Arabidopsis thaliana: one gene and its partner. The protein of the gene in region 1 interacts with the protein of each later gene in a pairwise test. Each region holds a gene or a part of one and is shown on either strand. Other genes may lie near its edges.

Evidence for each region.
Region 2: the proteins of DRIP2 (region 1) and AT4G13540 interact in a two-hybrid assay, tested with the Arabidopsis thaliana proteins (one large-scale study listed by BioGRID).

What each region holds. Positions count from the first base shown.
Region 1 is NC_003071.7:13,023,970-13,031,211, forward strand, and holds DRIP2 (DREB2A-interacting protein 2), read left to right. Parts: upstream 1-1,941; 5' UTR 1,942-2,474; coding exon 2,475-2,592; intron 2,593-4,011; coding exon 4,012-4,111; intron 4,112-4,535; coding exon 4,536-4,863; intron 4,864-5,008; coding exon 5,009-5,421; intron 5,422-5,526; coding exon 5,527-5,577; coding exon of another isoform or gene 5,578-5,581; exon of another isoform or gene 5,582-5,869; coding exon 5,870-5,942; intron 5,943-6,214; coding exon 6,215-6,394; 3' UTR 6,395-6,692; downstream 6,693-7,242. UniProt on the Arabidopsis thaliana protein: E3 ubiquitin-protein ligase that acts as a negative regulator of the response to water stress. Mediates ubiquitination and subsequent proteasomal degradation of the drought-induced transcriptional activator DREB2A. Functionally redundant with DRIP1.
Region 2 is NC_003075.7:7,867,665-7,871,347, forward strand, and holds AT4G13540 (golgin family A protein), read left to right. Parts: upstream 1-1,655; 5' UTR 1,656-2,231; coding exon 2,232-2,595; intron 2,596-2,671; coding exon 2,672-2,940; 3' UTR 2,941-3,126; downstream 3,127-3,683. Other genes in the region: AT4G13530 (uncharacterized protein), read left to right, coding at 766-891; AT4G13550 (putative triglyceride lipase), read right to left, coding at 3,587-3,667.

The sequences.
Region 1 (7,242 bases):
TCCACGAAGAAGAAGAAGCACATTCCCAGAGGGAAGAACACAGATCTCGGAGATTCTCTGCTTCTTCAACAAGCAATTGAAGAAAACGATGAGCAGATTAGGGTTTTCAGATTCTTCTGCAATAGGATTCGATAAATGCGAGAGTCTGTTTCTACGATTTCATATCTGGAGATTCAGAGCTTCCTCGTGCATGTTTAGAGACTTCTGCTCTTTTATTTTTTTTCGCTTAACTCAGATTTTTTAATATTTATAAATCAATGTATTTATTTGATTTTTATACGGAGAGGATTAATGTTGAGATACAGATATAGTGCGGCGCGGTGTACATGTGCTAGCAAAATTACTAGTTTACTAAGATTTGACTTCTTTTGATTGGCTTAGTGGAAATTCTCCCAAGCCACCATAGATGTTTTGACACGTTGATAGAATGTACTGTCAATGATTTTCAAGAGTGGGAAATTCACAGCTTTGTACTTTGGAGTTTGGAGGAACAACTGGAATGTTTGAGGTCGAATTTGGGAATTGAAATTTTTAACCCCTGGATGAGTTTATATTTGATTGATCTCTCTATTATGGGGTGTTGAATGTTATTTACAAAAAAAAAATAGTCATTGTTTTATGGACGAATAAATTATCTACTTGTCGTTTTTTTACCGAATAACGCATAAATTAGATTCAATACGGATAATTCCTAAAATAAAATAAAAACGGTTAGTTCTTCTAACATACGTTACTATAACAAACGTACTTGACGAGTTGGCATAAAAATGTATTTCTACTGTTTTAAAAGTAACGTACGATTCGTCTTGCATACTGTGACGAAATATGTAAATTCTTTTGTCGCTTAGTGATGATGTGAATTATTTTGATTCATAAAGTAGAAACTCGATACATACCTATTAACTAAACATGTATTATGTTGTGATTCATTTTTGCCTAACAAATAAAATTTATTAGCAAGAACCATTAAAATTTCATACTAATTTTGGATACTAAAATGTTAGATTGATATATAAGAAAAGTATATACTCAAAAAGATTTAACAATTTACCAATATTTAGTATTGGAATCAGTGTAGTGTTTGTTAGTACATGCTTTTCTACATTTAGAAACAGTTAAATTATAATTGCAAAAGGAAGCAATATTGAGGTATTAATAAGGTTTTACACTTTTACTTCAGCTAGCTTTGAATTTTAGAAGTTTTATGGACTATTAAATTATCTACTTGTCGATCTTTCATAAAAACTGTTGGCTCTTGCGAGAGATATGTGACCTTCCAATTGATCGCGAAGTGATAAGATGTATTCGATTTTTTCAGCTTATGCCATTTTTACAACTTTTCGGAAAAATGTTTCAAAATATCCATTATGAATTTGACATCCAAGTTATAAATTAGATAAAATTTACTTGAGATAACATATGGACATATAGATTTTACTTATTTATTAGAGTTCATTAACGAAAAATTATTGAGTTAAATATAGACATCTTTAAACTCGTTAATTTTAAAAAGAAATAATAAACAATATATATATATATATAAATATTTTATTTTCAAATTTTATTTATTTAAAGGGTTTTAATTTTTATTAACAGTTATAATATTTATGATTGTTTCCGGTTACTTTGATGCTATTTTCTCGTAATTCCCTTTTGTACATATATATTTAGAACCAAAAATTCAATCATTGAGAAGCATACTCTCTGTCAAGTGTAATTGATTCCTCCTCTTCATTTTTTAATTCTTCATTTCTTAAGTTTTATTAATTAATTGACTCACCTCTTCATCTTGTTTATTTCCAAGTAATTTTCCTAATGATGTCAATAAACAAAAATAAAAAGATTAAAATCACGCAATATCAGTAAAAAAGGAGAGAGGGTTAAATCGGTGGTGGACTTTGCAGCCCTAAACCATTGTTTCGCCTCGGAAAAGCCCATTTACACAATTGGGAAATAAATAAAAACAGAGTAAAGAAAGGAACGTCTTTTACTCTTTACGGTATCGCTCGCTTCTCTTCTTTCTCCTCAACACGAAGACCCCTCTTGCCTCTTTATTAGAGAGACCCCTTCCTTCTTCTTCTTCACCTTCACCTTCTTCCTCGATTCAGATCGTCTCCTCCTCTGTTTTATACTCACCCTATTCCTTCGAATCTCTCTCCATTTTTATCCCCAGATTCTCCCTTCTTCAACCTCGTCGACTCTTCTTCATCACTCTATTTCTTCCGATTGAGACTTCTTTCACTCTGATTTTCTTCGACCCTTTACGGATATATTCGGTCTTGAGTCTCCATCGGATTTGGATTTGAATGTAGGTATCTCGCACGAGAGTTGTTGTTTAACGTAAATCTGGGTTCTTTTTTTTGGTGGGTCGTTGTTTTTCTTCTACATGCAGTTTTGGGGATAGTACGTGCGATTCATCGATCAATCCTCGTTTAGATAGACATCAAGGATTTAAAGGAGTCGTTAAGAGAGCAATGGAAGGAGACATGGTGGCTAAAGTGAAGAGAGAAACGGTGGTGGCATGCATGACTTGTCCTCTCTGTGACAAACTCCTCCGTGACGCCACTACCATTTCAGAGTGTCTTCACACGTGTTAGTTCCTCTTTCCCCTTCTCGATTTACGTTTCGATTCGATTTTACCCGGTTTCTAATTTTCGCAATTTCTCGTCTTTATCGTCTTCTTTGATTGGTTCTCTGTTGTGTTTTTTTTTTCTTCCTCTTGCTGATTTGGATTGAATATCTGCATGATTCTTGTTGTTAGTCTCGTATGCCACTTATGATCTCCTCTATGTCTCAGTCGATTTGATGAAACTCGAGTCAATGAATAGTTTTGTTTGGTTTTCTCAACTAAAGTAATAGTTGTTGTTGAGCAGAATTTGTAATCTTTGTTTACATTTAGACTGCAAGAATCCTCCTTTATTCGTCTCTTTAGGTAAAATTTGTGAGTGTCTTCTTCTTCGTCAAAGATGGTTTGGTCAAACTCATGACGTCCAAATTTGGTTTTGGCTAATCATGTTGTTAGTTAGATTCAGTTGCTTTGTTATATCCAACTTGTAAGTTTTGTGTTAGGAAGTTCGAGTAACAAGTGCTTTAATCTACTCTCATCGGTTTAATGTAAGTTAATATTTGGATTAAGTAGCATTTATCAGCCTCTTTCTTCTACATGATATTATACAATTAAGACAGTTTAGATCATTTTCTGTTTGGAATGGCTTAATTTATTTCTTTTAACATACAATCCAGATTAGTAGTGAGTTTTCTGCATGTTGAAGTATTTGCTGATCTCTGTAATTTATTCAAATTTAGTTTATATTCCTTTTGGAGTCTAAATCAATCTACCATTCCAAGCTTTACACAACCAATTCTTTGTTACCGTTTACGGAGAAATATACCTTGTTACTCTGTAATTATTTTACTCATTCCATCTGATTTTAAAAAGGTAAATGTTAACAGTTCGGTTCCGTTGTACAACTGACCAACTGCTTATCTCAATTTAATAAAATTTTCAGAACGCCCTGCAGAATCTCTTTTTGAGTTACTGCAGTGCCAAAATTAGGTGTTAAATGCTTCACGGTTTTGTTTCTGGGGATGAATGCAGTATCCCCATCAAATTTGTGATTCCATCTCTTTTGTTTAGGTTGGTAGCTATGGATTTTCTTGATTTTAAAACCAAACAGTATGATGCTCATTAACCACTTGTCTACAAGCTTCTGCCATGACAACTAATATAACTTGATGCAGTAGAGACCATACCAATTATCGGCCTTGCTATAATGGATTTGGTGGAAGGAGTCCGATAATCTAACTTGCATCTAATAAATTCAAACTTGGCAGCGAGCCAACTTGCATTGAACCTCAAACATTATGCTATTCATTCTTTACTTAAACTTTTGATCTGAGAAATTGTTTGTTTTTATGTAAGTTGGTCGCCTTTATTACAAAAGATTTTGTTCTTACTTGATAGTTACTATCTATTGAAATGAAACAAGTTCTTATATCACTTTTATGCAGTTTGTAGGAAATGCATTTATGAGAAAATCACAGAGGATGAGATAGAGAGCTGTCCAGTATGCGATATTGACCTCGGGGGTACCCCACTGGAGAAACTAAGGTAAGTTCTTCTTCTTCTTTATTCCTTACACAATTTTCTCCTCGGTCTTGGTTTAGCAGTGATTCCTTGTATAGACTGTTAGAAGCCTTTTGGCTCTTACTGTTGATGAAACGAAGTTTTCTTACATAATGCTGAAAAGTTGTACATGATTATGCTGAGGTGTGCCACATATGGAAGGTTCTTCCGTAATTTTTGTGGCATAGTGTGAAGTTAATCAAGAAAAGTCATTTCGATTCAGAAGCAGTTATGACCTGAATATGTTGGCTAGTTTAATACTTTCGCTGACACCAACAATTTTTTGTTAGAACCTGAAACAAATCTCTTTAGTACTACACTCTCTCTTACTAGTTGGTCACCAGTAAGAGCTTTGTTGGTGGCGAACTTATTCATTTTCTAAAGAACCACTCTTATGTATTTATTTTAGGCCTGACCACATTTTGCAAGACTTGAGAGCCAAATTATTTCCTCTAAAACGTAAAAAGGAGAGAGCGCCTGAAGTTGTGTCCTCCATCTCATTACCTGCAAAGAGGAAGGAGAGGTCTATCTCGTCTTTGGTGGTAAGCACACCCAGGGTTTCAGCACAAGCTGGTACAACAGGAAAAAGAACAAAAGCTGCTACGAGAAAAGATGTAAGAGGTAGTGGTTCATTCACTAAGAGAACAGTGAAGAAGGAAGAAGAATTTGGAGATGATCATGTAGAGAGCGCAAGCTCGCCTGAAACACTTAAAAAGTTTACTCAGAATAAAAGACAGGTAAAGAAGGTGATCATTGCAGTTCTCTCTTTACCTTTATGTTTTACTTTTTCTCTTTACCAAGTCCAAACACAACGTTATGACTGATTATGGTCTTTATATAGTTCCCCATACATTTATTTATTTATTAATTCTTTTTTTGCAGTCTTCATATGCAAATCCTAACCAGTCCCTCTCTAATCGAAGAAACAAGGATGTTGATGAACCATGGGATTCCAAATTACATCTTTGGAAACCTCTAAATTTTCTTGTGGATGTGGCAAACGGAACAAAGGACCCAAAATCTGAGCTTGGAAACGCATCCCACAATGATGTTCAGGGGAGTAAAACCAAAACAAAGGATCATAAAAGAAAGTGTAAACTCGAGGAAGAGATCAGCAATAACGGTGATCCTACAACATCAGAAACTGCTACACTTAAACGAACGCGTCGGACTCGTCGCAAAAGGTCATCTACTTTTGGTGATTCTAGAATTCCACTGTTACCAGGTGCAGCAAGCCTAAAACAGGAGAGGAGAAACGGTCATGTTTGGTTCTCACTTGTAGCGTCAAGTAATCAGTGAGATTCCTGTTCTGTATCTGAGACTCTGAGTACTTCTGATATTCAATATTTTCTGTGTCTTTTCATTTCTATCTCTTAGTGACACGGCTTTACTGGTTTCAGGGAAGGAGAAGCATCATTGCCTCAGATTCCAGCAAACTACTTGAGAATAAGGTAAGTTGTTCTTTTTGCTTTGCTCTGTTTCTTGTCACTAAGTTTTTATATGTCAACTGTGAAGTCTGTGATCAAATATTACTTATTATTGCATTGATGGCTTTGAATTCGATTTCGCAGTTGTTTTACCCGAGTTTCCATGTCATGTTTGTTTTCTGTGGTATACGTTTCTTGATAAAGCCTTCTTCTTTTTTGGCCCATCACACCTAATCCTTGACTGGGAGGTGTCTATTTTCTTGTTTGGGAGAATTATATTGTGCCAGAGTTGATCCCCTGTCTCATTATATGGTAGGGATGGAAATATTCCAGTTTCTTTTATCCAAAAGTACCTCATGAGGAAGCTTGATCTCAAGAGTGAAGATGAGGTAAGCAATCTTATCTTATGCAGTGGCTACTTTTCTGTTTTATATGAGGTATCCACTCGGTCTAATATGGAATCACATAGACCGTAGTTCTATACATTGGTTCAAGTCTTGTGCTTATCAATATGACTGTAAGGTCCCCATAAATGTTTAAACTAAAGTTAACTCTCCCTTTTATTTCCGACTTGTGTACCGGGTGATATCTTATGATCTGGGACTTTTTCGACCCACCGGTGTTGAACCTTAACTACTCTATGTTTTTTTTTTGTAAACAGGTAGAGATAACATGTATGGGAGAACCAGTGATCCCAACGTTGCAGCTTCACAGCTTAGTAGACCTATGGTTGGAAACAACTTCTAAGCATCAAAGAGTCGCTGCGTCAATAGGTTCATCTGCAAAGGAATTTGTAATGGTGCTAGTTTATTCTCGGAAGCTCCCTGAATGCAACAACTAAAGAGCTATTCATTGAATCTTTTCTAGACCGAGAAGAAAGAAAAGTGCAGGAGCAGTGGAATGTCTTGTGTAGAAAGAAACTTAGCAATTTATATTTATTTAATTGTAATCTTAAAATTTGAAACATTGGTGTGAGACAGACACTTTGTTTGTTTATCCAAGAAGATTCAAAAATGGCTTTTTAAAGGAGATTGTGTCCTTTTTGGATATTTGAATGTATGATTAGGATAATGTTGTCATTTCTATAAATATTTGTTTCCTTGTTTGGACTAAATGGAGAAGTACACGGAATCCTTGTGAATCGAATGACTTAGCCATTATTGAGAAGTCAAAAGAAAAATAACCAAAAAAAAACTTGTGAAGTGTACCTTTAATACAAGAATTAAAGAGAGATGTATAAAAGTTTTCTAACAATTTTGTTCACCAAAAAAAAAAGTTTTCTAACAATTTTTAATACAAAATGCAAAATTAAAGATGAATTTTCTTATTTCTTTTTTTAAAACATAATTTTGAAGAAATTTGGTTGTCTTTTTGCATTTGTTTCTAGATATTTCTAAACTGTTGGGAAATAAAAAAATTTGCACACAAAACATAGTTAAATTCACGTGGTATTTATAGAGATTTACTTCAACCAAATTTGGATTTTGGGTCATTGTTTTATGGACGGATAAACTATCCATTAGTCAAATTTCCACAAAAATAATATGTGAATTAGATTCGACAAGGCTAATTCCCCCACAACATACGATACTAGAACAAACGTACTTGACTACTTGACGTAACAATGTTTCTCTTACTGTCTTGAAAATAACATATAACTCGTTCATCACCAATTTTCTTGTACATGAT
Region 2 (3,683 bases), on another chromosome or scaffold:
GAAGATCAGATCATCCCCTTGTTTGTCCTGGGACCAGTTTCTTGTTGCTAAGTAGTTTAGATGCAACCAGCGACTCGAGGTCATAGTATTCACCAACAGGCATACACTCGTACCCATTTACACTATCTTGCTAAGGGTTTTTGATATAGCACCACTGCATCGGTTGAGTTCTTGATAGATACTTTTGGCATAGAATGTGTAGTTGGTGAGAGCAGTGTTAATAGTCGTTAGAATACCACCTGGGTGATCTATTTCTTTGTCCGTCCTCTCTGTTGTTTCATCTCCTATAATGCTTAAACAACATATTTTTTATTTTTACATTTTGAGTTTGCATGTTCTTTCTAATAGCTAAAGGATAGTTGAAAGATCTTTAGACTAGTTTTCAGTAGTTATTCTTTGTAGATTTTTCATGTTGGTAGCCAGAGATGGAAGTTACTATATATTACGAATCTTATCGTAAAATGTTTCTTTGAGGAATGGATAAAAGTAGTGGTAAAACCTGAAAGTTTAGTTTAACTGATCTTCCACTGGTACAAAGCCTCAGTAAGGACCCAAGTTTGAATCCTGCTTACGGTTGCATATAACTTGGCGGATCAAATATGTCTTTTGCTGCTGAAATTCACGTTCTTGCTTGACTTGTATTCATCTTTTTCACTCATGGCAATGAAGAACAAAAGTTCTAAGTATTTCAGAACACAATTCGGAAGATTTTTACACCATCTGATTCTTGTATTGTCTGTCTTTTGAATGAAATACTTTTTTCAGAAGGTGGCGAATCATGCTGCTCGGTGGAACGAAGCAATCTCGGTAGTGAAACGTGTGCCCATAATCCGGCCAGCACTTCCGTCATCAGTGGGTATGAACCAGTGGTCCATGATGAGTTTAAGGTGAAAATTAAGTGAATTTGAGGGCATAATAATGCATATATGTGAGATTATATGATTTGATGTGGTTGGTGCATGTATCATATGATTGTATTAAAAATGTTACAAAAACATACAAAAAGATGCTTGTAAGTTTGTACTGTGTGTGTATATATTGTTACTTGCTTGGTGGAATACAAATTGGATCAGAATCATAGTGCAGTTTTGGAAGGTTGCGGTCAGAATCTAACCTTGATAAGCTTCTGAGCTGGTCTTAGTAGGCAGTGTCGTAAAGAGATTGTACAAAGACAAAAGCCAATAACGGAATTTTGGTTGTTTATTTAGAAAGTACGACTCTTTAAGATATGAAAAGGGTTAAGACAAAAACCCAAATTAACAGGGAAGTTCACGTGAAGAGGGCAATGTTTCTGATTGATGTAGCCATGTAGGAGTCTATCTTTCACTTTATAGCTATCCTAAACTCTACGATGTCAATTGTGATTAGATATATGTCTCTTCTTCTTGTTTCTTTGTCTTCTTTCACTCTATTATTCGTTGACCATTGTACCACCAAAGTTTGGTATACTCACTTATCATACTTAAATCACAAGTGAGTATTGTAAGGAACTAAGGATCCAAAGCTAAAGCATACTCATGAAGTTTAACTATTGACGTTTAACGGAAATAAAGCAAACCAAAATTCGAACTTCAAGATAAATCTACCCATTGTCTTCACGTAACATACTCAAATTTTGGTTTGCTATGTTTGATTCGGTCTATAAAAACACAGACAATAACTTAAGACCTATGTAACAATTTCCTCCATGAGAAGAAGACAAATTAGACCAAAAGTTTGAGAGAAACCTATAAAACCTACAAATATTGGGAAGAAAAAATAGGAGTAAATAGGTATGGGTCCATGTTAATGATGCATGTGACAAACAATCAAAGCCCACACCATTAATTGGAGATTGAAGAAAAAACACTGCTTTTCATATTCTGTAACACCACTTCAATTCCTTTTTCTCTTGTTTCCTATTCAGTACTATGTCCTGAGAGTGCCCATAACTTCTTTTGTCTTTTTATCTCAGTTTCCATAAGAAATAATCAACTCAAGCCACAATGTGTGTTTGTGTGATTAGTTTTGTGATAAGACATTCCATAATTTTCCTATTGTGTGTTTAGGATAAGTGAAGATGCTTTTGGTTTGGACCATATTATATAAATAACATGTGTCTGCAATGCCGCAAAGTGGAGCTTTCTTCACTCACAATAATCATTTTTTTTTTTCATTGAATGAAACAAACAAGACATTCAAAATAGAACAAAAGTTCTACAGAGATAGAGAGAGAAAGAGAGCTTTTCTTCATGGGTGGTTCTACAAGCAAGGATGAGAGAAACAGTAGTAAGAGACGCATCAAGGTGAAAGCAAATGAACAGAGAAGGAGAGAAACAAGAAGAGAGCTTGATGAGAAAGAGAGAGTGATTTTGGCGTTGAAGATGGCAGAGACAGAGTGGAGGAAAGAGAGGAAGAGACTGAGAGAGGAAGTGAAGAGGCTGAGACAGAAGATGGAAGAGAAGGAAGAAGGAAAGGCGAAACAACACGAGTGGGAATGGGTCGTGGAACAGATGTGTTTAGAGAGAGCAGTGAGGGAAGAAGCTGTGGAGAGGTGGAAGCAGCTCTACTTTGCTATCAAGAATGAGCTTGATGATCTCATCCACACAACATATGGTAAGACCTTTCACAAATAATCTCATCTTTGATGTTTTGAGAAAGGAAGGTAATGAGTTTTTTTTTTCTTTTGTAGGAGAGGCACTGAGACAGAAACCGCAAGAAGAAGTTGCAAAGGCAGTGCAAGAACTCAGAAAGGAAGTTAAAGCTAGGGGAGAAACCATTGAGACACTGAAAGGGAGAATAAATTTGATGGAGAAACAACAAAATGGGAAGGAAAGAGAGATTGACTTACTGAGACAGAGTCTGCGTATCCTCGGCGGTAGCAGCGGGAAGAACAAGGCACTATCATCTACTACCAGAAACCTGACAGTATTCAAAACAAAATTCATCGGGTGTAAATAACTGTTTTAGTCATTTGAAGTTACTTTTCCACAAGGATTGCTGTATAAGTAGACTCAGTAAGCTTCAAGCAATAATAAGCCATTTCTTTCCTATCTCATGACGCTAAAGAAAGTTGTATATACTTCACAAGTAACATATCCAGCATCAAGAAAATCTAATGGAAAAGAAAAACGGTGAATGATCAGGGATTAAGATTGTTGTCTCCAAATTGATCTAAGATTATGTAGAAACTTAGTACGTAAAAATAAGAACTGCGTGCAAAGGTTCCAAAACAAACGAAAGCTTAAGGATTGAGATAACTTACTTCTCCCGCAGCTGTTCTCCTGAAAAGCTCACAGATGCAAATAATGCTGAAACTAGCCAACCGAGAGGCGAGGTCCGAGGTGTAACGGTCCCTGTTAGCCAAAAATAACATTCCCTGCAAGGTCTCCCTGAGCATGCAGTGAGAGTATAATGTTCAAATTTCATCTATACGCATTGTGATAAATTCCAACCATCTTGTCCCCTTTTGATACCATGTCTACGTTTAAGTTTACACGACTGAACCACAGATCACTATAAAATAATTACAATGGATGCTTGTCTCTTGTATATAGTATACAGTGTGAATCCTATACAGCTGAAGCGAGCCACTACATGCTCTCACTTAGCTCTCTCCCACTGATTGGATAGTAGTACTTTCAACGCCTTTCGGATCTTCAACAGTTTTGTAATATAACTTCACACTCTGAAAAGATTGACAA